Linked DNA regions of Caenorhabditis elegans. The protein of the gene in region 2 purifies or fractionates together with the protein of the main gene of each other region. This does not show direct contact. Each region holds a gene or a part of one and is shown on either strand. Other genes may lie near its edges.

Region 1 (5,114 bases), on a different chromosome or scaffold from region 2:
CAGAACATGAACCATCGTTTGTTCCACCAGCTTCTGCACACCAAGCTCCATCAACAAAAGCCACAGTTGTCGAAGAGTCGAAGCAAGTTCCAGAAGGACGCGAACCCAGCGATTTGGCCACGTGGATTCACAATAATCCAGACGTCGTCAGAAATGTGGCTGCTGCAGCTGCAGTTGCTGGAGTTGCCGGTCTTGGTTATTACGTCTACGTTAAGAAATTTAAGTAAACTTTAAGATTTCAATTAGTTTTACCCTATAGTTGATACATAGGCTTTCTAAACTCTAAAAGAATAGTCATGAAAAACTGAAATCTAATCACCATCCCAGTTCATACATTCTTCCTCCTCATCACGCCCCGCCCATCCACCGCCTGAAGTTACCCGGTATTCAGTGTATTCTTTAATCATCCAATTTCTTACCGTTTTCTTGTTAGATATCCCAATCATTTAACCATTTTCTTCTCCGTATCGGGTCATTTTTCATCGTTTCAATTGTGCCCACTAAAATCCAAAACGTTTTTTTTTCAACATGAATATTTTATTATCTTATCTCCAGACAAATCAATCACAAATCATCGAACTCATCAATATCAGAGAACAGCTGCTCGTCCATCTCTTCGCCTTGATTAAAACTTTGATGATGAGCATCATGCTCTCCAATATCGAACGCTGATGCAACTTCCAACTCTCCATCCATCATTGAACGTTTGAATAACATGAGTTTGCTCACTGCCAACTCAATTATTTTCTTGGGGGTTCGTTCACTTCTTGTCAATTCAGCAGATATTCCAGTAATTTCACCAGCTTTTTCAATAAAGAATATGAGATCTTCTTCCTCGCCTGAAACTATTCCATTTATTATTTTTTCTGAATAAAAACTCTTACTTCTATTTGCGAGCTGAGAAAGTTGAATTTCCGGAGAGCTGAACTGTTCATCAAGATCAAATAATTCAAGAGGAGGCATTGGTAATTCTTGAAATGTTGGTGGAAATACTGCAGGTTGAAATGGAGGCATTGGAAGTTCAAATTGAGGTTCAACAAGGGTAAGTGGTGGAGGTGAAAGATTCAATGCTTCATACAATCTAGAATAAAAATGTTTATTCAAGTAGAAATGATGTTTTACACTAAAACTTATTGTAAACTTCATTCTAATATTCTTTCCAAATATCGAAATAATTTCAAAAGAAGGACGCGGAAACTTGCGCCTTTAAATGCTAAAAATTTAAACAGTACTGTAGTGTGACACTACTCATTATTCTCTTTTGACTATTAGAAAACAGAGTGAGGTACTACGGTAGTTGTTAAAGTCGCACGCTCTTTTCCGTACTTTATTCGTAAATAATTTGATCGTGTCGAGACCAGCTACCGTATTTTCAGGAAAACATCGCAAAGTTGGTGATTGGGTAAAACCGTGTTTCCATTTTCGAAAGCATGATTCTTGAATCTTTTTCTTAGTAATAACAAACATATTTCTGTAGTCAGGGGAAAGTATTTAGGGCACAGTACCTTATAGTCATTGGCCAATGTTTCAAATTAAAAGAATGCAACGAAGTATCCATAATCTTCATGAAATCCGAACTGATTGCCTGATCCAATTCTCCTTCGTACATACAAACCTGTTTGTTAGTTTGTCTAGAAAGTATAATTTTTTGAAGTCAAACCTTGATCTGCTGGGACATATGAATATGATCTGGAATATTTGTGTAATCATTAATTTCCGGCTCTGCAGCATCTATCGTGTTCAGTTCAAGACCATTGACCAGGAATTCCACAAATGTATCCTGAAATTGAAATTTTCCAATAAGGCGAGTTAAGAGGCGGGTGGGAGGCGCATCCTGCACGCCTCAACCAACCGGGGAAGTTTATTTCGAACCATATCAAAAATACACTTACAAAAATCTTTCCATTTTCTTCCTTATCGATGTATGTGTCATGAAACATCGAGACTGATCCAACCACACACACTCTACCTTTCTTTTTCTGAAAATAATATGAATTAATGTACCAATTTCAGAATATTCTAATACCATTTCATTGAGTTTTGTCTCATGAAAAGCGGCAACTGGGCGACTTGTTGGAAAACTTGTACTTCCAGAAGACAATACTACATTCGACATACGATTATTCACATCTAGAGTACATCCATATGGATAAATGAATGAAAGTGCTCTGAAATATTGAAATCACTTTTTTATTTTTGGAAAATCGGAAACCGAATTTTGTCCTAAATAAATAAAAAGCTAATAGTTCAACTCACTGTGAATTATGTTTTTGCTCAGTGCTCACATTCTTTTTTGCAGCCACTGCAATTGCTCGATTTATGACTCCATTTGCTACTAAAGCTTCTTTCGGATCAAAATATTTCAGGAATACAGTACGAATTACCGAATCTTGAATGTTGATGATTTTTGTAATTCATTTAATTTGATAAAGACATACCCTTATTCACAGTAATTCCATATTTTGCAATCATTTCATTTAATGATTGTCTCTCACCACCTTCACCAGAAAGGATCATCAATGAACCACCTTCTTCCACAAACTTCCATATTGCTTCAATCTTAAATTTTAATTTTTTGGGTGTTAAAATTAGGCTGAGACAATCAAATGAAATTTAATAAAATTTAAAATCCTAAACCTCTCCAGTTCCAAATGATGTCTTTGGTTGTGGAATGATAAGCATCCGAACATCTTCTAATCCATTTAAGTTAATTGGTTCTGTGTTTCTGAATTTAAAAATTATTATCTATCTGCGAGAGAAATTCAAATTTGGCAAAAATTACGGTAGCAGGTCTCGACGCGAGCAAAACAATTCCGCGCAAAGGATTGCTCGACTTCGAGGAGTACTGTAGTTTCCAATATTTTGTTTTTTTCGTTTTATTTTTTATTTTTTAAATAGCAGCTTAATTTGTTCAGTATAATTTGAATATTTATTCCAAAGAATTCAAAATAAGAAAATGAGAAACAAAAATACAAGAAACCTGCTTCTTCGCAGGATCCGATTTTAATTCGTTTCGAGACCGGGTATCGTATTCTTTCATCATAAATCGTAAATCTTTCAACTATGTATTTAATGTATAAAATGTTAAATATTCCAAAAAAGCTCACATTTCAACAGTAAGAACACTTTTTAAATGTCTTGCCACACCACGAAAACCACTAATCAAACTAATTTGTTGCTGTTTTGATTGATCAATCAGAACTTTTCTCCCAATACTCCGGTTCTGGAAAATGGAAATAATAAAATGCGAAAACTAAAATCTAATACTTACAGTCATCTTTTCGTCTGAAAATGGAGGCATAGATGTATACTAATGAAGGTAATAGCTTGAAAGAGATATAAGCCCCAAGAGAGGGAGCAGACAATGTGAGCGAGAAGCAATGAGTGGTTACTATGGTAACATGTGGATACAAATCTTGGAAGGGTCTCCTGGGAAAGGAACTACTAGAGAAATATATAGTTAACTTTGTTTTCTGAAATTTAATGAATTCCGTAATAGACTCCTAATTATTAAAAATGCAATTTCATTTTTGAAGTTTGATGAAAGATGTAATTAATTTTATAACAATTTATTTGGAACGAAAAAAATTTTACATGAAAACCGGAAGTGTGAAATCGTTGTTTCATAATTACATCGTCTTATACAAGATTATAGTTAATAAATAAATACCCATGAAATGTAATGAAAACTGAAAATATAACTACTACATATAAGCAATTATAAAATTAAAATGATACAAGAATACTGGAAATATCGTTTGGTTGGAGTCGGAATTGTTCAGCCTTGTTTCCTTCATAAAGATTGGTTAGTGACGTTTTTTTCGCAGACTTCAGTGTCGAGATCAATTTGAGTGGCTCAATTTCTAATCCAGTAGCTAAGCATGACGTGTCTGGGAGGGTAAGCCTGGATCTACAGTCTGGAACAACTCTATGCATCACCATCGCTGCTTTCTTCTCAGCTGCCGTAGATCTTTCGTTGGCTTCGTAAGTTGTCGGCGATGCCAGTGTTCTGAAAATGATTAAAGATGAGGGTTACTGTAGATTTCAGATTTTTTAACACCTAAATGTCACTAGATGCAGGTCACAGTTCAGCTCTTGTTCCACATTTTTCGAAGAAATAGATTTTGGTGTTGCATCTCCAATCATTTTGACAAGAGGATAATGAAGAGACCACGTAGCGAGATGACCAACATGTGAATGGAATCCAACTCGTTCTTCCTTCTTATTACCACTCGATGAAGACATCGGCTCAATAACAATACGGAAATGTGCAACTGTTCGTTTGTTGTCTCTAACTCCTTGCTGAAGACCTCTGTTGTCATCTGAACTAAGTCGTCGATCAAGCATTATTTCAATTTGTCCCGACGAGAGACTGCTAACTCCGAGAGCCTGTGCCGAATGAATTGACATTCTGGTAGTATCGTCTTCAATGTAAACACCAGCAGACATGGGATAGAAATTGGCCTGTGTTGGTAATTTAGTTTGTCGTCTCCTTTTTATCATTTGCATTCCATTGAGATCAGTGAAAAACTCATCACCACTATTTACTGAAGAACTGAATCTCAGTGCCAACTCGAAATTCTCCTTGGAACGTACATCAACTTCATTATCCAAATCAATCCATGGAAGCCCTTGATAAAGTGTGTACGTTTGCAATATTTTCAGATCATTGTTTGGAGTTGCAAACACTTTTTGAACAACTTCTCCTTTTACCAATATCCAATCACTTGATTGTTTTTTGAGTTCTCTAGCTTCTCCATCGGGAAGGAACAGGTATGCGCCAGCCGGGTTGTCTTCATTTCCATTTGCGACTGAAAGAAAAACATTTTTAAAGCGAACAAAAGATTTGGAGGAAAAGCCTAGATTTTGAAGGGATGAGAAGTGAGAGAGTGAAGAGGAGTGAAGAACGGATGCATCTCTTGACCCAAATCGCCTTATTTCAATCACTTGTTTATCATGTCAACGGCTGATTTGTATCATTTCGCGCTTCTACGCAGGAATGGTGATGTTCTATGCAGCTGCAGTTATTCTAGCTGTATCCGCAGTTTCAGGTGAGTTACTGAAATATTTTGTTTCATAAACTGCACTAGGATGCGTACAAAATGATAAATATT
Region 2 (5,859 bases):
GGATCTACAGGATCAACTGTAACTCAGCCATCGGCATTTTCAAGCACTTCTGCATCATCATCAACTCAACCGATTGCATCATCAACTACAGCAAACCCAGGATCATCTACCAGTGGACCAACAATTGCAAGTACGCAGGGATCATCTTCAACTCAAACAAATTCAAACACTGGATCGACCACTGTAGCTACTACTGTAACACAAGGATCCTCAACTGAAGGGAACACTGGGTCAACTACTGTAAATTCTCAAAGCAGTAGTGTTGCATCAACAGTAGCATCCAGTACATCTAACATTGTCTCATCCACTTCCCAAGCTCCAACATGTGCTTCTCCGTACAGTGGAAAGATTGCAACTGTTTTTGAATTGAGTGCAAACAGTGCGACGGTAAGAACAATCGTTTTGCCAATTTTTAAGTTTTAAATTTCCAGAATGTTGTAAACTTTGTGACCAATAATTTGTACAACTCAGTCAACTATGATTTTACTTCAACTACACAAGCAATCAATGTACCATATGGACAAACCGACAGTTATCCTACCAATAAATTTTTACAATATGGTGGGGCAAAGTATGTTTAATTTATTTTTGTTTTTGTTCAAATAACATAGCACGGCAAATATTTCAGGAGTTTAACGAATCTTCAAGACAACATATCTGATTTATTAGATAGTGCTATTTTGATGATGGATTCCACAATTTCCGAGTGAGTAAAACATTTATCAAAGTTCTGATTGATTAATGTATTTGCAGCGGGCTTCAATGGCTTCATGCTAATAGAGATCCAGCTGGAACAAATGCAGTTATCATTATTGTTGGAAACCAGTAAGATTTGTGAATTTTCAAATTTTTTATCAATCTACAATTTCAGCGATGATGAAAACCCCGCAATGACTACATTCACTCTTCGAGACCTCAGAGCACAAGGATATAAAGTGATTTCGGTAGCTGTTGGTGAAGGTCATGGAGATTTTTCCCTAATTCCGGATAAACAAGAATGGTATTTCCAAGTAAACGATTCAAATGGACAAAATATTGCTGATCAGATCTCATCTATTCTTTGCAACTTGAAATAATCATCTCCCCACTGATATCTTTCCTTACTGTGCAAGTTTACCCATTTCTTTCAGAAATAAATATATTACCTATAACAGAGCGCTTGATTGGTTTAAATGTGTCGCTAAAGGTTTCTCTAAACTTGGAAATTTTGCAGGAAATCATCTTTTATTGCGTCGATTATTTTATACACGACACCAAAAAAAAACATAAATAAAAAGCAAAGTAAGTTTTCATTAAATTCCTTAATTAATCAAAAACTTTAATTTTTCAGAAGTATATCTGATCTTCAGAGTAATATTGATACTCTTTCCACCAATGCTGTCTTATCGACAGACACTACAATTTCAGAGTAAGATATACATTTTTCGATAAACAAAATTGTTTAACTTTTTTCAGTGGTCTCAAGTGGCTTAGCGAGAGTTATCCGGACGGAACAAATACTGTTACCATTGTCGTTGGATACCAGTAAGATTATTTATATTACACGCCGTCTTCAAATATATATTTCAGTGTTGATGATAACAATGGAATGACATTACTCTATCTTAAGACTTTGAGAGATCAAGGTTATAAAGTTATAACGGTAGCTGCTGGTGTAGGACATGGAGATTTATCTGGAATTGCTGACAAACCAGAATGGTCTTTCCAAGTTAATAATTTCTTTCAACTATGTGGGTTCAATAAAAATATTACATGTTTCCATGGAAACGGTGTTCGTATTCTAGAGCGCACTTTCTCACATATTCCATAGCTGGAGTGTGCTTGTTTCTATGACAACTAAACACGCATCAACCACAAATACGTTATTCTAATCGCTTCTATTCACACAAAAGAGGTATTCATCTGAAAAATAAGAAGAATGGAACGCCCATCAACTGCATCTTCTCGTCCTCGAACCTCCACCGGAAGAGCACCGTCGGCACGGGCTAGACCTCCATCTGCAATGAGAGGTAATAGGGAAATTGTATTTTTCTTACCAAATCTATGTAGAAAAATAATAATTTTCGTTACCTAAAATAAAATTTGTAGCTCCTCCACCACAACCAACATACGAAAATCGTCCAACGACTGGAATGTCAATGAGAAACGGAGGGCCTCCTGTTCCTCCATCACGAAGTGGTATGATTCCAGTACCTCCGTCTAGATCTGGTGGACCTCCTGCACCGATGCCTGTGTCAAGAGCTGGGGGACCTCCAAGAGCACCTACTTCTGTAAGTATAGCTATAAAGCATCAAGAAAATCTACCTATCGGAAATAGATTTCCAAAATAAATTTCTAAAAACAACACTGACTGAACTTTAATTTTAATTGAGATTTAGATAGCACAATAGTAAATACATATTTTTCAAAATTTTTAATACATTTCCAGATGGGTGGACGCCCAATGACTGGAATGGCAAGACCTCCAACAGCCGGATTGAGACCAGTTACTCAACAAGGATTACGAGCTCCTCCGTCAAGAATGGGAACTGGAAGTATGTATATTCTAGACTCCATTCTAAATTTTAATCAAACATTTTCCAGACTCCCGTCAAGTATTTGACAAATCATACTACATCGGAGTTCTTCGAGCGAAACAAAACGCTATAAAAGTTGAAATATCTCGTATGAAAGAGAAACGAGATAAAGGAATAAAAGATCGAAATGAGCTACATGCATATGAATCAAGAGCATCTGCTCAAGCACAAGAGATTAGTGATTTGCAAGGAAAATTATTGGATTTGAATAAAATAATGGAAAAAATTCATTTGAATGGCGATATGTCGGATATTGAGTTAGAAGCAAGCAAAATGAAGGAACAAGCTGATGAGGTTAGATTACTGTAGATGAAAGATCACTTTAAGTTATAATTTATATAATTATAGATGAGATCATTAGCTGAAGAAGTATTTAATGAACGTCGTGCAAAAGAAGAGGAACTTCAAGGATTGGAAATAGAAGTTGAAGAACAAAAAAAGTTAAATGAAGCAGTAACACATGCAATGGATCCTCAAATGAAAGAAAAATATGAAGATTTAAAGTCTGAAGCGAAGCTTTTAAGAGAAAGAGTTGTAGAAATGGAAGCGAAAAATGAAGATTTAGATGATAGAATTTCAAAATATGAAATTGAAATTCGAAGTAATCCACTGAAAAAGAAGGCAATCCAACTACAAGAAACATTGGATACACTCAAAAAACAAGAGGAAAAACTAATGGAAGATATGCAAAGTGCACTAACACCAGAAGCATGGAGAGATAAAATGTCAGAAAATATGAAACAATTGAACGCAGATTTGGTTGTGATTGAGAAACAACACAAAACTGTTAAAGATCAAATTTCATTGGCTTCAGAAGAATTACACGAGTATGACTCACAAGGAGAAGCTCAAATCAGTACGTTTCCTTTTTTTGATAAGAAACTATTGTGCATTTGTGTTTGGTATTTGGTATTTGAAATGACGTATCTATTAAATATGTCATTGTTTTACCGCAAATAATTCTTCATGGAATTGTGCGTACACGGTCTTATAGGTGGAGTAGAGTTTGTTTTATATGATAGATAATGAACCTAAGTTGGCAAGGTTGAAGTGGCTTATGTAATTTTAATACATTTTAGAGCTGTAAAAATTTTAAGCACTACAGTCCATTTTCAATCATTTGAAACAAAATACCCACAGACACTAATCAATACATTCAATATGGCAATACAATATCAATACGTTCAAGTTTGACCATTATGGGATTTGAAAATCTGAAAATCTGAATTTTGAAAACATGACATGCAGATCACATTAAAAGTTAGAATCGAGTTTCAGAATTCAAAAAATAATAATATTTCAGTGGCTCATCACACAAAATATCTTGATCTACTTTCGAAAAGCACAATGCTTGACGATACGACTGAAAATTATCCACAGCAAATTGTCATTTATCAGCAAGACATTGAAGAATTCTCCGACGCAGTTGTACTGATTTTGAGAAAAATATCTGCCAATTTGAAGAAAGTGAATCTAGAAGATCAGATAACTGATTTAGATGAACGAGGTCTCACTTTACAGACCGGAAATGTGGATGAACTTAAAGAAAGTAGGTTTGATGAGCGATTAAAAATAACCCTCATTAAAAAATATTATTTCAGTGCATGTTCGACTTCAAGAAGAGCTTATATCAATTGAGGATATGGAATTGGCGTTAAATGAAGAAATTGATAATTTGGAAACTGAGGAGAAAAAAATAGATCAGGAATTGGCGGGAGTCGGGAAGAATGTAGATTCAGATGGGCTCCGACAAGAGCTTGAAGAACGTCAAAAAAGGCTTGAAGATGAAGCTCCAGCTCGTTCACATGAAATGCAACAGTTAGAAGCAAATGTAGCAAGTATAAGAAATGAACTTCATTCAATTCCAGGATACTCTCAAGTGAGTCGATATGGTTCTATATTAGTTTTACCAATTATAAATTTATTCCAGCACAAAATGCTTCGCGAACGACTGGAAGCTGTTGAGAAACGTACTGCTGCAAAATCACTTGACATGAGCTTGAGGAAGACTGAAATTGACTACGAAGATATTAAAACAGAGGTGTGGATTTTTTCCTAATCGAGTTAACAATATTTTACTTAATTTCAGAGCATTCGACTTCAGGAAGAATACAATAACATGCTTTTGACCAATCCATTTCAAAGATTCACCTGATTTATTAATTTTTCACTAAATTTATTTATTAAATTTACATTGAATATGCTGAACTGTTCCTGAAACAGCAAAAAAATTATTGGAAAATACTAATTAAAAAATTGAAAAATCTTTGCCTACAGTAGCTTTAAGGAACACGACAAACTTTATCTGAACATGTCTCGTCACGACTACCGTACCTTGAAATTTTCCCGCCCGATTTTCGCAATTTTCTTGCTGATGAATTTCTTTGTTTCTTTCCTGATTTTCTCGATTTTTAATCGTGTTTTTGTTTTTAGAATTTTTGGAAATTTGAGGAGAAGATATATATCAAGTATGAAGCACCCTTTCCGCAAGGTCGCCGTAGTTCCTTTTTTGTTTCCGTCGTTTTACCCTTTTCGGCGATCTTTTTGATTGATAACGTTTAAGTAAGGCTAGTTTTAAATTGAGTTTTCTCAATTTTTCTTCAATTATAACATTTCCATCATTTTTGCAGTCAAATAATATTGTAATTCTATTTAAAATATCGTTTGATTATATTTTGAGAACCTTTATTGATTGACTGTTAAATATAACGAATATATTCAACAGCTTAAACAAACAAATAAAATAAGTTCTATCTGCGCGAAAAGCTACAAAGGATACGAAGAAAAGTCAAGAAATCAATTCAAAAATTATGCCTAATTTTACATAGCCTTTTTTTTTGCTTGATAACGATATATTCACAACATTTTCTGGCTAAAGAAAGGTGGAAACGTTTTGTTGTTCTTCCAAGTTGTAGCTCGGGGGGCCGAAAAAAGTAGGCGCGATGCGGTCGACCGCGACGCAACTCATTTCTCTGCTTCTCTTTATTTCAGTAATCTTTGTTTCGTGGCGTGGTCTCGAGAAATAAATAGACGCAGGGTGTGGTGAGAAAATTGTCCGCAACCACCGCCCGGCAGCTAGATATTGAACCAATATCTCACGATAAACTTTTACCCTTTGCATACATGCTAAAATGAGAATTAAGAATACAGTTTTTATAGTAATCTGAACTTTTCGTTTTTTAAATGCCTGATAAGATTAGTTACTCGGGCTTCTGCCACGTAACATTCGTCTCTGCGTATCTCATCTTTGAACAAGCAATTTTCGTTGGCCGAGGTTTTGCGC
Region 3 (7,108 bases), on a different chromosome or scaffold from region 2:
TGCCATTCAATGCTTCAACCTTTTTTTCTGCAGAGATTTTTTTGCGATTCTGCGCTACCAGGAAGACTTTTTCAAGTTTGAAAGACTCGAAAGCTTTCTCAGCTACGTCTATGATCCTTATGTCGATTCTTTGAGAGACGTCTCATCAAAAGCGTTTTTGGTGTAGGAGAATAGAATTTTCAATGGTTTCATGAAATTCGGTTTTTGAACATTTTCTTTATTTATGTAGTTAATTATTATTTCTTGTATCTAATTTTTTTGATGTTTTATTAAATCCACTTTAACAAATTTAGAAAACATTATTTTCGTGGTATAATCGGAAGTTTTTATTTTGATTCAAACTTGACACCCAGTCCAAATATTTAGACAAAAAACTTTCAAATGTCCTAAATTTTATCAAACAGCTAGAACACGCATTTTTTTCACCAACAAGCATTATTTATGTCCAGATCAGGGGTGGGCGTCAATTTCCGTTTGGCAATTTTTTTGCGGCAAATCACCAAATTGCCGGTTTGCTGATTTGCCGGATGTTTTTAATTCCGGCAACTTGCCAGTTTGCCGACTTGCCGTGAAATTTCATTTTCGGCAACATGCCGATTTGCCAATTTGGCGGAAATTTTTATTTTCGGCAGACTGCTGATTTGCCGGAAATGTCTAGGGGGATTTTTTTATAAGACACTGTGCCTTTCTGTGAATTTTTTAACGTCTTTTCTCAATTTTTCATAAATTTTTTTACTTTTCAAAATAGATGTGGAAACATTTATAGGATGCCTACAATGTTGTCGATTAAAATTGAAATTCCGAAATTCCAAAAAAAAAAAAGTGCAAAACCGCAATTTGCCGGAAATTTCAATTCTCGAAGTTTGACGATTTGCTGATTTACCGGAAAAATTGTTTGCCGCCCACCCTTGGTCCAGATGAAAAGTGCAATTTCTAATTGACTCTGTCAACATTGTACAGAATAAACAGATTATTTCAAAGATTGCATTCACATTTAGGTATACATTTTTAACTGCATCTAGCTCTCAACCTTCAGAAATAAACAGGATTTGCTCCCCAATAATGATCCGATGATCAATAGGCATTACGAGCAGTAGCTCGAACAATGTACACCAAGTTATTTTTCAAGTACTACAGAATTTCGGGTCTTAAGCGGAACCGAGTAATCGTAGAAATCTCCCGAACAGTGGCGTATGCCTAGTACCGTCAAATGTAATTTAGATAAAAAGCAACAAAAAAATTCTCAGTTTTGTCTTCCATGTCTGTTTCAATTTTTTCTTTATTGAAATTTTATTTAAACAGACAAAAATTTGAATCTCCCTCATCTCACCAGATTCTTTGTTGATGTACACCTGCGGTGGTACTCTACTATTAGTTCCTTCTCCTCCCGTCTTGCCGCAGCTCTCTGAATTGCTGCCAGCTGGTTGTCATGGTGACTGCTCGCGCATGGCTCAGCTAGTGTTTGCAATACGTTTTTGGTTTTTCGTTAATGAACCCTCAGAGATTTGGGCTAATCAATTATTTTCTACAATTCAGGCTTTCAACTTTGCAGAATGAAATTAAAACTATCGGCGTCTCGGAAAACACGCCACACAGAAATGGTTTGTGGGGTGGGATGGATAGGCACCGAGGCCATATTGTCGGCAGCCGATGATCATGTTTTTCTGCTAACAAATACCGCCACAAATGAATCTCAACAAATTTTGAATATGCCGGAGTGAGTTTTTTTTTCATCATTGCGAGGCGAAATGCGACTACTCTAAATTAAAGGTGGGGTACCGAAATCTAGGAAATATTTTTAATTGATTCCAAATTTGCCCCTGGTTCACAATATTTAACTAGGGACTCTTTTTTGGTGACAAAAGAGTTATGGGACGAATTATATATTTTCTGAAAGCTAATACAATGCTCATATCGAATTCAAAATAAAACCTTGCCCAAATTGATGCTAAGACAAATGTTGTCCTCCGAATGCGTATTTAGGTTAAAATGTCATTGTTTTTGAAGCTTCATATCTCGATGGACTTCAAAGGTACAAAAAAATCAATTGACAAAATGTTAAGAATAACACAAAAATTCCATTTGATATGTTGCGTACTCCTGTAGTTATAAGCATTTAAAATATTAAAATTTAGCTTAAAATTTCATCGTCTCATATTTCGAAAGGAAATGGAAAAATTAAGTGTTCATATTAATAAACAAGGAAAAAATATATGGAGAAAATCATATAAGGCAAACGCGCTCAGAGGATTATTTATTTCTGTGCCTATTTGAAAAAGAAACCGGGGCACACATGAAATGTGTGATTTAAAGCTCAAATATAAAATCAGGGATTTTTTTTTGAATTTTTCACATTGATATTTGGAACCATAGGCAAATTTGGAGTCATTTAAAAATATTTCCCAGATTTCCGTACCCCACCTTTAAGTATGTACATACATATGTATATATTTTAATTTTTATAACAAAAAATCTAATTTACTTTTAATTACAATAAAATGATTACGATTTCATATCAACTGACTAAATTTGACCGATTTTCTCAGCTGCAATTAATTAGCTCAATGCAATAGAATGTTGCAGCTTTTGTGGTCTGACAATTAGAACTGCAGCAAAAACAAAAACTTCAATCAAAGAATTTTAAAAAATCAGAATTTTATATTCCAGAACTTTCTTCCCCACGAGTCTTCATATTTTTCCACGTTCCCAAACTAAAGGTGGTCAAAATGATGTGTTTGCAGTTTCAACTTCTGATGGTAAGTTTTTCTTTTGTATTTTTTTTTCATTCTTAACGAAAATGTATACGTATGGGTTTTGTTTCAAACCCATAAACACCGAAAATGAATTTCAGGAAAGATAAACATACTTTCGCGAAACGGAAAAGTTGAAAACATGGTAGATGCTCACAACGGAGCAGCTCTCTGTGCTCGATGGAATTCTGATGGGACTGGATTGTTGTCAAGTGGGTTCAATACTAAAATTTCAAAAAAGTATATAAAGAAAGTCAGTTGCAGGCGGAGAAGATGGGTTTGTGAAAATGTGGTCGCGGAGTGGAATGCTGCGTTCAGTGCTGGCTCAATTTGCAACAGCCGTTTACTGTGTGGCATGGGACTCTACGTCTTCCAATGTTTTGTACTGTAACGCTGACCATTGTTATATCAAATCGTTGAAAATGCAAGTTGCTCCGATAAAATGGAAAGCCCATGATGGAATCATTTTGTGTTGCGACTGGAATCCAACTTCGGATTTGATAGTGACTGGCGGGGAAGATTTGAAGTTCAAGGTGATTTTTGAGTCTATACTCCAATCTGTCTGAATTTTATACTATAGGTTTGGGACGGATTTGGTCAGATCCTGTTCAATTCTTCTGTGCACGACTATCCTATAACAAGCATTTCGTGGAACACTGATGGAACTCTGTTTGCTGTTGGATCTCATAATATTCTAAGACTATGTGATAAGTCTGGAGTTAGTGGTTGTTTTTAAAGAACTGAAACAATAATTTTTATTTCAATTCATTTCAAATTTTTTCAAGGCCAACATCGGCTATTTAAGCTAACATTTTCTCTGCTGCTCCACAAAAATACTGAACTAATTGCCCTCCATGAAAATTCATTTTCGATTTACCAGCAAATAAAAAGAGCAATTTATACTACTTTAACATCAAAAAAAAGTTTCAAAATTACAGTGGTCTCATTCTTTGGAGAAAATGAATGCTGGATCTGTGATGGCACTCAGTTGGTCACCTGATGGAACTCAATTAGCCGTTGGCACTGCTGCTGGGCTTGTCTTCCATGCACATATTATTGATAAGTAAGATCATAGGGATGATTTATTCATTACTAATTAGAAAATTCCAGGAGACTGACTTATGAAGAATTTGAAATTGTTCAAACCCAGAAAACCGTTATAGAGGTTCGAGACGTCAGCAGTGAAGTTTCCCGAGAAACTCTCGAAACGAAAGAAAGAATATCGAAAATCGCGATTCTATATAAGTATCTGATTGTGGTCACATCATCCCATATCTATATTTACAGGTATGATTTGAAAAGCAAACTAGCCTCCTATTTTTGTTTTCAGCTCCAAAAACTGGAATACTCCCACTATGATCGAGTACAATGAGAGAACTGTGAATATCATTGTGCAATGTGAAAAGTAACGTCTATTGAATGTTTTTGTACTTACAATTAGTAACTTAATAATGCAACAAAACATTTTTACAGAAACTGATAATTTTTGCTACAAACGCTATTAATTGAAATAATGGTGATTGCGTATTATTGCCCCACATTAATCAGTATTTGTTAATTTCATGTTGGGAACCAAAATTAAAATTTTTACAAACTTGTATGGGTTCATATTTTTAAAACATTGCAAGACATTCAGACATTCTCCATCGCACAAAAATCTTTAAAAAAATAAAATTTCAAATTGGCAAACTACAAATTTTTCAATCATCTTTTAAACCAACTGTTCACAAAACAAACGATTAAAAAATTCCGTTTTCTTCAAATTTTTTTTTGTACGTTTCAGCAAGTTATCAAAATTTGACGCGAATTCTTAATTATTAAAGTTATTTTCAAATCATTAGACTTCATAATTATACCAGCATAATGTGTGTATAACTTTTTAAGGATATTTCTTGTGTCCGATGGAATGACAATAACTATATTCACTTATGAGGGAAGAAAACTTATAAACCTAAACCCACCGGGTCAAGTAATGGCTCTACTAGACGAAAGAAAGATCGACCTGGCGAATGATACACTTGTGGTCCGAGATCGTGCCGACAATAAAGTCTTGCACTTTTTCGATCCAACAACAGGAAAAGCACAGGGTGATGGAAATTTGAAACATGAGGTACAACGTATATATTAACTATTATACATAACTAAACATTTCAAACTTTCAGCATGATATTGTAGAGCTGACTGTGAATCAGTGCGGACCACTCAATGATAGAAATGTTGCCTTCCGTGATCAAATCGGTGCAGTTCACATAGCTATGGTGAAGACTTTCGGTGTCAGCCAGAGGATGGTAAAAATAGGATCACTAGTTGAACAGCTTGTCTTCAACGATGTCACAAATATGCTGTGTGGAATTTCGGAAGGAAAGATTGGTAAGTTCCAACACTTTATTCTCAACTTCAACACATGTTTAAGCTGTTTGGCCTCTTCCAAACGTTGCCTTCCACGACAGAAATCTTCTACAGAAATCATTAATACAGAAGAACATCGGCAGCGTCGGAAAATTTCCACAGTTGGCTAATTTTGCCGGAAATACAATAGTTATCAGGAAATCAGATGGATGTTTACTGCCAACTGGGATTCTTCCGTTCTATGGAACACTCATCACAATGGCATCTCAATCAAAATGGGATCAAGCAATACGACTATGCAGAAGTATTGGAGTGAGTGAATGTTTTGAAAATGTAGATATGTCAAATTCATTCAAAATGCCGCACGGCGCATCTCACGTCTTTTGTGTAGTGCGTTTGGAATCAATAAAATATCATTCCTTTTATACAAAACAGTGACCGTTTGTTGACTATGTCCAAAATGGGCGTAGCCGAACATCGTGGCGAGACCCTTCGTGGTGATACCCATTGTGGCGAGATCCGTCGTGATGAGACTCATCGTGATAAGACTAAAAAATATTGACAAAAAATTCAAATTTTTTGAGAAAACAAATTTTTGTGGAAATCTCAAATTTTCTAAGCATTTTTTGGTGGAAAATTCAAATTATCTGAGAAAAAAAGATTTGGCGAGAAATTCAAATTATCTGAGAAAAAATGGCGGGAAATTCAACTTTTCTGAGAAAAGTTTTTTGGCGGAACTATAAAATCCATGAAATAGTTAGCGGGATTAATTTTGGGTGTAATGTATAAACGTGTTGCTATAAATGACCTATTTATCAAAATTGAGAATGACACAATGTGGGCGACTTTTGCTGGATTAGCTGTTCTCCACAAAAATATGATCGTTATGGAAATTGCCTATGCAGCATTGGAGGATGATGAAAAAGTTTCCCTGATCAACGAAATCAAAGACAAAACCGATAAAGAGACTCGTCAAGCTATGCAAGTGGTATTAACTGGAAAGCTCGCAGATGCTGATGTCTTGCTAGAAAGAAGTGGACTAAGCTTTCGCTCGCTTATGTTGAATATACAAATGTTCAAGTGGAAAAGGCAATTCATAATCAGATGTTTTTTTTTTAACTTGAATACTTTCAGAGCACTCGAACTTGGCTTGAAAAATAAACAGTGGCTCGAAATTGTAATGGGATATCGTGAGAAATACTTGAAGAACTGTGGACAAAAAGAGACAGACCCTCTTTTTTTAAAGCACATGTCAGAGGTAAACCAACTTGTGAAAGACAAAACATCAAAAACTTTTTTGAAAATTTCAATTTACAATACATATTATTTCCAGATACATTTTATTTTGAATATGAATAGCTTATTTTTCAGGTCGAAATCGACTGGGTGCATATACGAGAGCTGATTGCCGCGGAAAAAGCTAAAGGAAACAATTGACTCCATTTTTGTATTTGTTTGATGTACCCATTCGAATTGTTATAATTTACTCAAAAAATTTCTAATTTCAAGACAGCAGGGCAGAAGCTAGAAAAAATTGCTCCGAGTTCGAGCACTTGGGGCGATCGAAATTTTTTGAAAATATCATCAAATGAAAGTAGGACTTATCGCCACCCCTGATATATAATGAGGACACGATTTCTGAAAGCTCTGAGTAGTTTTGAAAATTTTAAAAATGTTTTTCAATTTTCCAAAAGCTCCGGAACAAGGATGTCATCACGGTAGCATAGTGTTAATGAAACAAAAAATCAACAAATAAGAACACTTTTTTCCAGATGTAAATTTTACACATTTTTCTCCATCTTACGGTTATATTCCTTTCTAACAATTTTCCTAACAATGGTCCATATATCTTTTGGTAGCCGGAGAGAAAAACTACTAGCGGCATTGACAAAACAGTTTTTATCTATACAATAAATCTGGGCTGGGAATAAATTCGGCACCTCACTCTTCCTAAAGAATTATCTTTTAAAGTACAGCTGTTTTTTATTTCAGACAAATGTCTTAAATAT
Region 4 (7,617 bases), on a different chromosome or scaffold from region 2:
GAAAATGAATCATAATGACAAAGAAAAACTGTAACAAAAAGATAAAAAATTTCTAATCTATTTTTGGATTTTTAAATTTGCAAAAATCAAAGAAACGTCGGAATTAAATTTAAACTCTCGCGCAAATGAGTGACGTCATTTTTAGACCTTTTTACGTTTCCTGCCTTCAGCGATTTTTCATGGTTTTTTTCCAATATTTGATTTAAACATCGTTGTCAATTTTTTAAAGATATTTACCCTCAAAAGTTAGAATTAAAATTATATTATATATTGTCGATTTTTAGGCCAATTTTAAAATTTCCGCAAATTTCTATCCAAAGTTCTCTTCACGGAAAAATGCTTGAAAATTGACGAACAGTGATACAATATTTCAAAAATTTCAAAAAGATACAATATTTCAAAAATTAAGAAAAATCGATGAATTTAGCCAAAAAAACGCGAAATTATCAAAAATGATGTCACTCATTTGCGCGGGAGTTAAAATTTAATTCGGTCGTTTCTTTAATTTTTGCAAAATTGAAAAAATCATAAGAAATTCAAAAAAAAAATTTTACAGTAGTATTCAGGTAGTACGGTCCATTCTTAGGACCACTGCGACACAAAAATTGGCCTAAATTAAAGCTAAAATTATTCCTTTTTTTAATTCGAAACTGCCATAAAAAAATTTGAAAACGAGTTTGTTGAGAAGTTTCATTACGAAATTTGTTTATTTGAGCACATTTTGAGTTTATATGCTTCAAATACTCAGAACCGTTACTCCTATAAATATAATTCTCGCAACATTTTAAAACTTATATCTGGTCTCAGGGCTTATCAAAGATTCAACAACTGCCTCGGAGGGAGCTACATCAAACAAGCCTGCTATCCGCACGAACCGCTAAAGTCTCGCTATTCCGTTGTCGATTCAGTCTTGGATTATGTTTGTGGAGAAGGATATCAATGTATGACTTAGGAAAATTATCCTGTAAAGCGTAGAATTTGGAAAATTTTCAGCAATGCTCAACAACTGGAATTGCTACTTGTCTGTTGCGGAAAGCAGGGAGATTGCAATGTGTGAAGCAAGTTTCACACAATTGGCAAGAAACACTGAACAAATGTACAATGATTATTCGTCAGGAGCCGGAGCATGCTTGTGAGCTTTCATATTATAGATTTAATTGACAACTGACAAAAATGGCTTTCAGTGCACTTCAATCATATACCGACTGCATTCGTCCTGCAATTGAAACAACCTGTGGACTTGGCTCTTTTCTGACAGTTATCCAAGCAGTTGAACGGCCAATTCAAATTTACCTTCCATTCTGTACACTTTCTTCGTCCGCGATCTCATTTGTTCAATCAATCATAATTTCTCTTGCTGTTTTCTTGTTTTGCCTATAATTTATTGTTTTGAAATTGAAAGACTCGAACCCCATAACTTAATATTGTCATTGAAAACCCCTCAGACCTATACATGTATAAACTATTGCATCTCATTCGGTGTTACACTCTCTCTCTTGCTTACATAGTTACTATGGCAACGCTCCGCTAGCTTGACGAAAATTGTTTTCTCTTGGGTGCCATGGCAACCAGAACACCAAGCAGCGCACTCTTCTCTATTTCTTCTGAGAACACTTTTCTTAATGGCGAACAGCACTTTTCGTGAAGATGATGACGATTTTTACGGCGGTTTTGATTCGTATGATAAAGCATATGATATTCAGGTTTGATAATAATTTAAAAATGAATAAGAGTCTATGATTTTTTGCTATAAATGATAGTATTACTGTACAACAATTTAAACATTTTTTTCTAAATTTTTAAATATTTTTTTCAATTTTGCAAAAACCAAAGAAACGCCCAATATGATTATAAATTTCCGCTCAAATGAGTGACGTCACCTTGGTTTTTCTTCATTGTTCTTTTATATCTCATTTGAAACTTTATTTACCAATTTTAAGAGCATTTTTCCGACAAAAAAATTGTATGTCAATTTTTAGGTCAATTTTGAAATTTCCGCCAACCGGGTTTCAAATAAAATATAGCAGAAAGTATCTGAAAAACATAAATATTTACCCGAAAACGCAAAAATATCAAAAATGACGTCAACTTTTCCGCGCGAATATTAAAATTCAAATGAGACGTTTCTTTGATTTTTGAAAAATTGAAAAAAAAAGAATCAAAAATTAAGGAACATTTGACCCATTTTTTATAGTTACATTTGGCTATTAGGGCCTATTTTTTATCATTTCAAGCAAAATTTCTAAATGATTCTACTCCTCCTGTAAATACGCAATAATAAATGTGTTTAATTCAGAACATAACTCAAAATCCACAATTTCAACAAGCCGTTGCTAGGTCGAGCCATGGAAGGCGTCCGGTGAGTGACAATTGGAAAATAAACTGTTTTGTATAGTAATTAGAAATTTTTTACCTTAAAGAGAAAAATTTTTAAAACTTCAATCAAAGGAGAAATTGAGTTTGTGTGTTATTTTGCTTAAAAAATACTAAAACTGACTAAATTTTATGATTAAACTTTTTTTTCTAAAAAATTTTTCCGATTGGTAAATTTTACCTTGCTGCTCCGGTCCGAAACAGTTTTAAAAAAATCATCAGCAAAAAAAAAAAAAAAAAAAATTTCGGGCAAAGTTGACCTTTTTTTGACTTTTAAAATCTTTGAAATTTTTTTGAAAATTTTTATTACAATTTATTACAATCTTTTTCTAAGACTGCATCTCAAATGGGATTCCGAGATGCTTCCTCCTCTTATGGAAAACCGCCGGGAACGATGATGGGAAGTGAGTAACCAACTACATTTTTTTTTTGCAATCAGGATCCGTTCTTTTCAGATCAAAGTCGAATGGGCGGTCGAACAGCCATGGCTAACAACAATGAACCTGCGAGACCGATGACCGCTGTCCGCGGAGCCGGATATACATCCTTTGCAAATAAAGGTGACATCCGCACCGTCCTAAACTATTTGTTCACAGTCACTTTTTTTCAGTTCAAGCCGCAGAAAGACCACTAAGTACCGAGAACTCGGGTGAAAAGTAAGAATATATAGTTGCGAAATTTAGTTGAAAAATCATGTAACTTGTAGTGGTGAAGAAAAATGTCGGCAGATGGAAAACAAAGTAATGGAAATGCTCCGAGAAAGTATGCTGGCTAGTGAGAAGAAAAAGTTCAAAGAAGCGCTGGATAAAGCGAAGGAAGCTGGGCGACGTGAAAGAGCAGTTGTGAAGCACAGGGAGCAACAGGGATTGGTAGAGATGATGAATTTGGATCTAACTTTCACCGTGTTGTTCAACTTGGCTCAGCAATATGAAGCGAATGATATGACTAATGAAGCGCTAAACACTTATGAAATCATTGTAAGGAACAAAATGTTCCCAAATTCTGGGAGACTAAAGGTAAATATAAAAGTTTTTCTTAAGGATATGTATGTCCTAACAAAATTTTGGGCTGCAAAGTTCCACCCATCCAAATTGTGATATGAAATTGTTTCAGTGCATTTTTAATACTTTCAAGTTCTTTAGAATTGCTCCAAATGCTTTTTCTGCATACTTTTAATAATTTTCAAATTGGTTAGATGTTGGTAAAGATTCTGAAATGTTTTGGAAATTTCCAGTTTTTTTAAAGAGTCAAAATTTCTTAAAATCTCCTAGTATATAAAAACAGCGTTTGGAGCAATTCTACAAAGCTTGAAAATATTAGAAATTGTGCTGAAGCAATTTCAGATCAACATTTGAAGGGTTGAGCATTAACAGTAAAGTAAAATTTTTTCATTATTTTGACTAAGCTTAATATATATTTTTTCAGGTTAATATTGGAAATATTCATTTCCGCAAACGTGAATTCACAAAAGCTTTGAAATACTACAGGATGGCTTTAGATCAAGTTCCGAGTATTCAAAAAGATACAAGAATTAAAATTCTCAACAATATTGGTGTAACTTTTGTCAGAATGGGAAGTTATGACGATGCCATAAGCACTTTTGATCATTGTGTGGAAGAAAATCCGAATTTTATTACAGCCCTCAACTTGAGTAGGTTATCACTAGAAATTTGATTTTTTTTAATGTTATTTTACAGTATTGGTAGCATTTTGCATACAAGACGCAGAAAAAATGAGAGAAGCATTTGTGAAAATGATTGATATTCCTGGGTTTCCGGATGATGACTACATGAAAGAGAAAGATGATGATGATGTTTTGTTGAATCAGACCTTGAACTCGGATATGCTGAAAAACTGGGAGAAACGGAACAAGTCGGATGCTGAAAAAGCAATCATTACTGCAGTGAAGATTATTAGCCCGGTTATTGCTCCTGAGTGAGTTTTGAATGTCAGGAAAATACAGAGTAAGATGACAAAAAACAATTGAAAATTTTTTTGTCGGTTGTTAAAAATTTTCAACTGAATTTGTGTCGAAAATTCTAGTTTTTTTTTAAACAAAAAAAACCAAGTGAAAATATTTTTACACTTACAAAAAATTCAGGATAGAAATCATACTTTTTTTTGATAATTTCGAGATCGAATATTCAAACCCAAATTTTTTGTATGTGCAAAAATAGTTTGCACTTGGTTAGGCACAATATTTTTGGCAACCGACAGAAAATGGTTTGAACGAATTTCTTTCAAAATCTTTTTGTATTATTAGTTGGTATTATGTTGTCCTTCCGGTTGCGTAATTCCGTTATATAAAAGTTTTTGATATACATAAGTAAAAAGATAAATAAATAGAAATCTTCCAGCTACGCTATCGGCTATGAATGGTGCCTTGAATCTCTCAAGCAGTCTGTACACGCACCATTGGCAATTGAACTTGAAATGACAAAAGCTGGTGAGCTGATGAAAAACGGAGATATTGAGGGAGCAATCGAAGTGCTGAAAGTTTTTAATTCGCAAGATTCCAAAACAGCCAGTGCGGCTGCAAACAATCTTTGTATGCTGAGATTTTTGGTAAGTTGAAAGTGGAGTATAGAAATTGTTAAAACCAGTTATATGGTGCCAAAATGACCAAATATCAATGTGAAATTTTTTTAATTCATGAAAATTCTTATTAACAGTCTTATTAACAGAAAAAGTTGCAAAAAGATTTGAGATTTCTCCAATTTTTCAATTTTCAAAAAATCATATAAAATTTAGATTTTTTTTTTGGAATTTTCGCATTTTGATAATTGGTCATAGTGGTGTCATAGTCATGTCATAATCATGTTTTAATGCAATTTCAATTTCCCACCGGCACTTCTCTACCTCATTTTTGCATATTTCAACTTGCAGCAAGGAGGACGCCGTCTAGTAGATGCACAGCAATATGCTGACCAGGCACTTTCAATTGACCGCTATAATGCGCATGCTCAAGTCAACCAAGGCAACATTGCGTACATGAACGGCGATTTGGACAAAGCTTTGAATAATTATCGAGAGGCGTTGAACAATGACGCTAGTTGTGTTCAAGCATTGTTCAATATTGGACTAACTGCAAAAGCGCAAGGCAACCTGGAGCAGGCACTTGAATTTTTCTACAAACTTCATGGAATCCTTCTGAATAATGTACAAGTGCTAGTGCAATTGGCTTCTATGTAAAACAGAAACGTTATGAGTGTTGAAACAAAATTGTTACTTTAGATACGAGTCATTGGAAGATTCTGCACAAGCAATCGAGCTGTATAGTCAGGCAAACAGTTTGGTTCCAAATGACCCTGCAATCCTTTCCAAGCTGGCGGATTTGTATGATCAAGAAGGTGACAAGTCTCAAGCATTCCAATGTCATTATGACGTCAGTTTGTATAATTGAATATTATGGGACCGAATAAATTCCGGGTCAAAAAAATCATAACTTTTTTCGCTGCTTATTGATTTTTCTAAAACTGTAAGAATTTATGGTATTAAAGATGATTTTTCATTTGACGGTTATTTCAAATAGGTTTTACCACCCAAGTGTCCCTACCCGGAGCCACTTCTGTTCAGTTCATAACTGAGGTTTATAATAGGATTTTTCAAAGTTGTAAGTCTCAAGTCTTATGGGGAAGTAATGTTACAAAATCTATTTTAATACATTTATGGCGTCACAACTGTATTAAAATACATTTTTTTTATGTATTTTAATACAGTTCTGACGTCATTTTTTTCACTTTTTTAAATTTCCGACACTTTTTGTATAAGTTTTTGAAAAAAAAATGCTTTCAACAAAAAAAAATTTTTTTGTTGAAAATTCATGATTTTTTTTACAAAATTGTTGCAACCTAGTGTAAACTATTTTATTTTTGATTTAAAAATTTTTCTCGAAAAATTCTCAAAAAACTCAAAAAGAGCTCGAAAAAATCATATTTTCAATATCCATTTGAGTAAGACATATTGAACTCGGATGTTTTGTATGTGTAAAATTAGTTTAAATTTGGTTGCATCATTTTTTGAATAAAAAATCAATAAATTTATATTTTAAAAAATTCCTGAAAATTTTTTTAACGACTTTTTTGAAACTTTTATACTTTCAGTGTGTTCTTACAATTTATTTCGAATTAATCAAAATCCGCCTTAATTCCTTAGTCAAAAACTAAAAAGGAGCAAAAAGTGGCTCCGAATAGTTTTAGAAAAATTGATCAGCAGCAAAAAAAGTTATGTACTATAACCAGGAACTTATTTAAACCCATAATATAAAATATCCGACTTATGGTTTTTCAGAGCTATCGATATTTTCCATCAAACCTGGAAACCGTTGAATGGCTGGCTTCTTATTATTTAGAAACTCAGTTTTCTGAGAAATCCATCAACTACTTGGAGAAGGCTGCCCTGATGCAGTAAGTACTTAATTTCTAATGTTTCGTAACATTAGTCTTGCGTCATGATGAATAAAATTATGAATAATGTGCGCTTCAGGCCAAACGTTTCAAAATGGCAAATGATGATAGCCAGTTGCCTACGACGGACAGGCAATTACCAAAGAGCTTTCGAGCTTTATCGTCAGATTCATCGCAAGTTCCCTCAAGACCTCGACTGCCTCAAATTCTTGGTTCGAATTGCCGGTGATCTTGGAATGACGGAATACAAGGAGTACAAGGATAAACTGGAAAAGGCTGAAAAGTAATATAAACATGCAAATAGAGAAAATTTCAAAACAAGCGAGTTATAGAATCAATCAACTCCGTCTACAACGGGAAAGTGATTCAAGCCAAGGAAAACGTCACTCTGCAAATTCAACGCATTCCCTTCCCCCATCCGGCCTGACCGGTTTGGGATCGGGGTCAGGTGGTTCGAGTGGTGGTGGCACCCGTCAATACAGTGCACATGTTCCTCTTTTGCTGGATAGTGGCACCCCGTTCACGGTGGCCCAACGAGATATGAGTAAGGGCAATGGAGTTAGAGAGTATAGATTAGAGAGAGTATAGATTAGAGAGAGTATAGATTAGAGAGAGTATAGATTAGAGAGAGTATAGATTAGAGAGAGTATAGATTAGAGAGAGAGAGAGAGAGAGAGAGAGAGAGAGAATCAAGGGGTGCGCGGCAATTGCCGACCGTCAATTCAACAAAATGAACCAGTGCGGAATGTTTTCTCAAACTAGGGCTGTGCAAATCGGCGTCGTCCGATTTTGACACCACCGAACGCACATGCATCCGGTTTGGGGTAGGTTTCCACGG

What was found.
Region 1: the proteins of ift-74 (region 2) and osm-6 purify together in Caenorhabditis elegans (affinity purification with mass spectrometry; 2 studies listed by BioGRID, with this or other methods). This does not show direct contact.
Region 3: the proteins of ift-74 (region 2) and che-2 purify together in Caenorhabditis elegans (affinity purification with mass spectrometry, with the first as the bait; one study listed by BioGRID). This does not show direct contact.
Region 4: the proteins of ift-74 (region 2) and osm-5 purify together in Caenorhabditis elegans (affinity purification with mass spectrometry, with the first as the bait; one study listed by BioGRID). This does not show direct contact.

The regions. Positions count from the first base shown.
Region 1 is NC_003283.11:11,924,106-11,929,219, forward strand, and holds osm-6 (Intraflagellar transport protein 52 C-terminal domain-containing protein), read right to left. Parts: upstream 3,342-5,114; 5' UTR 3,302-3,341; coding exon 3,272-3,301; intron 3,224-3,271; coding exon 3,108-3,223; intron 2,726-3,107; coding exon 2,638-2,725; intron 2,560-2,637; coding exon 2,439-2,559; intron 2,390-2,438; coding exon 2,257-2,389; intron 2,169-2,256; coding exon 2,027-2,168; intron 1,980-2,026; coding exon 1,893-1,979; intron 1,781-1,892; coding exon 1,661-1,780; intron 1,616-1,660; coding exon 1,506-1,615; intron 1,082-1,505; coding exon 885-1,081; intron 840-884; coding exon 565-839; 3' UTR 516-564; downstream 1-515. Other genes in the region: R31.2 (ANK_REP_REGION domain-containing protein), read left to right, coding at 1-227; aman-2 (Alpha-mannosidase), read right to left, coding at 3,727-4,009, 4,061-4,811; F58H1.2 (uncharacterized protein), read left to right, coding at 5,000-5,051.
Region 2 is NC_003280.10:6,678,216-6,684,074, forward strand, and holds ift-74 (Intraflagellar transport protein 74 homolog), read left to right. Parts: upstream 1-1,840; 5' UTR 1,841-1,918; coding exon 1,919-2,009; intron 2,010-2,088; coding exon 2,089-2,270; intron 2,271-2,428; coding exon 2,429-2,534; intron 2,535-2,583; coding exon 2,584-2,870; intron 2,871-2,924; coding exon 2,925-3,432; intron 3,433-3,879; coding exon 3,880-4,125; intron 4,126-4,177; coding exon 4,178-4,455; intron 4,456-4,506; coding exon 4,507-4,617; intron 4,618-4,665; coding exon 4,666-4,731; 3' UTR 4,732-5,329; downstream 5,330-5,859. Other genes in the region: H43E16.1 (VWFA domain-containing protein), read left to right, coding at 1-387, 432-571, 629-706, 754-825, 872-1,076.
Region 3 is NC_003284.9:479,898-487,005, forward strand, and holds che-2 (WD_REPEATS_REGION domain-containing protein), read left to right. Parts: upstream 1-1,552; 5' UTR 1,553-1,553; coding exon 1,554-1,717; intron 1,718-2,667; coding exon 2,668-2,756; intron 2,757-2,851; coding exon 2,852-2,962; intron 2,963-3,014; coding exon 3,015-3,283; intron 3,284-3,330; coding exon 3,331-3,468; intron 3,469-3,688; coding exon 3,689-3,813; intron 3,814-3,860; coding exon 3,861-4,037; intron 4,038-4,080; coding exon 4,081-4,155; intron 4,156-4,634; coding exon 4,635-4,860; intron 4,861-4,912; coding exon 4,913-5,120; intron 5,121-5,163; coding exon 5,164-5,411; intron 5,412-5,925; coding exon 5,926-6,188; intron 6,189-6,233; coding exon 6,234-6,357; intron 6,358-6,470; coding exon 6,471-6,536; 3' UTR 6,537-6,607; downstream 6,608-7,108.
Region 4 is NC_003284.9:2,982,656-2,990,272, forward strand, and holds the start of osm-5 (Intraflagellar transport protein 88 homolog), read left to right. Parts: upstream 1-1,607; 5' UTR 1,608-1,622; coding exon 1,623-1,703; intron 1,704-2,296; coding exon 2,297-2,359; intron 2,360-2,707; coding exon 2,708-2,777; intron 2,778-2,828; coding exon 2,829-2,933; intron 2,934-2,983; coding exon 2,984-3,029; intron 3,030-3,079; coding exon 3,080-3,389; intron 3,390-3,798; coding exon 3,799-4,024; intron 4,025-4,070; coding exon 4,071-4,308; intron 4,309-4,730; coding exon 4,731-4,938; intron 4,939-5,259; coding exon 5,260-5,561; intron 5,562-5,607; coding exon 5,608-5,758; intron 5,759-6,663; coding exon 6,664-6,779; intron 6,780-6,858; coding exon 6,859-7,062; intron 7,063-7,111; coding exon 7,112-7,323; intron 7,324-7,471; exon of another isoform or gene 7,472-7,573; intron 7,574-7,617. Other genes in the region: nspg-5 (DUF19 domain-containing protein), read left to right, coding at 808-941, 994-1,132, 1,185-1,380.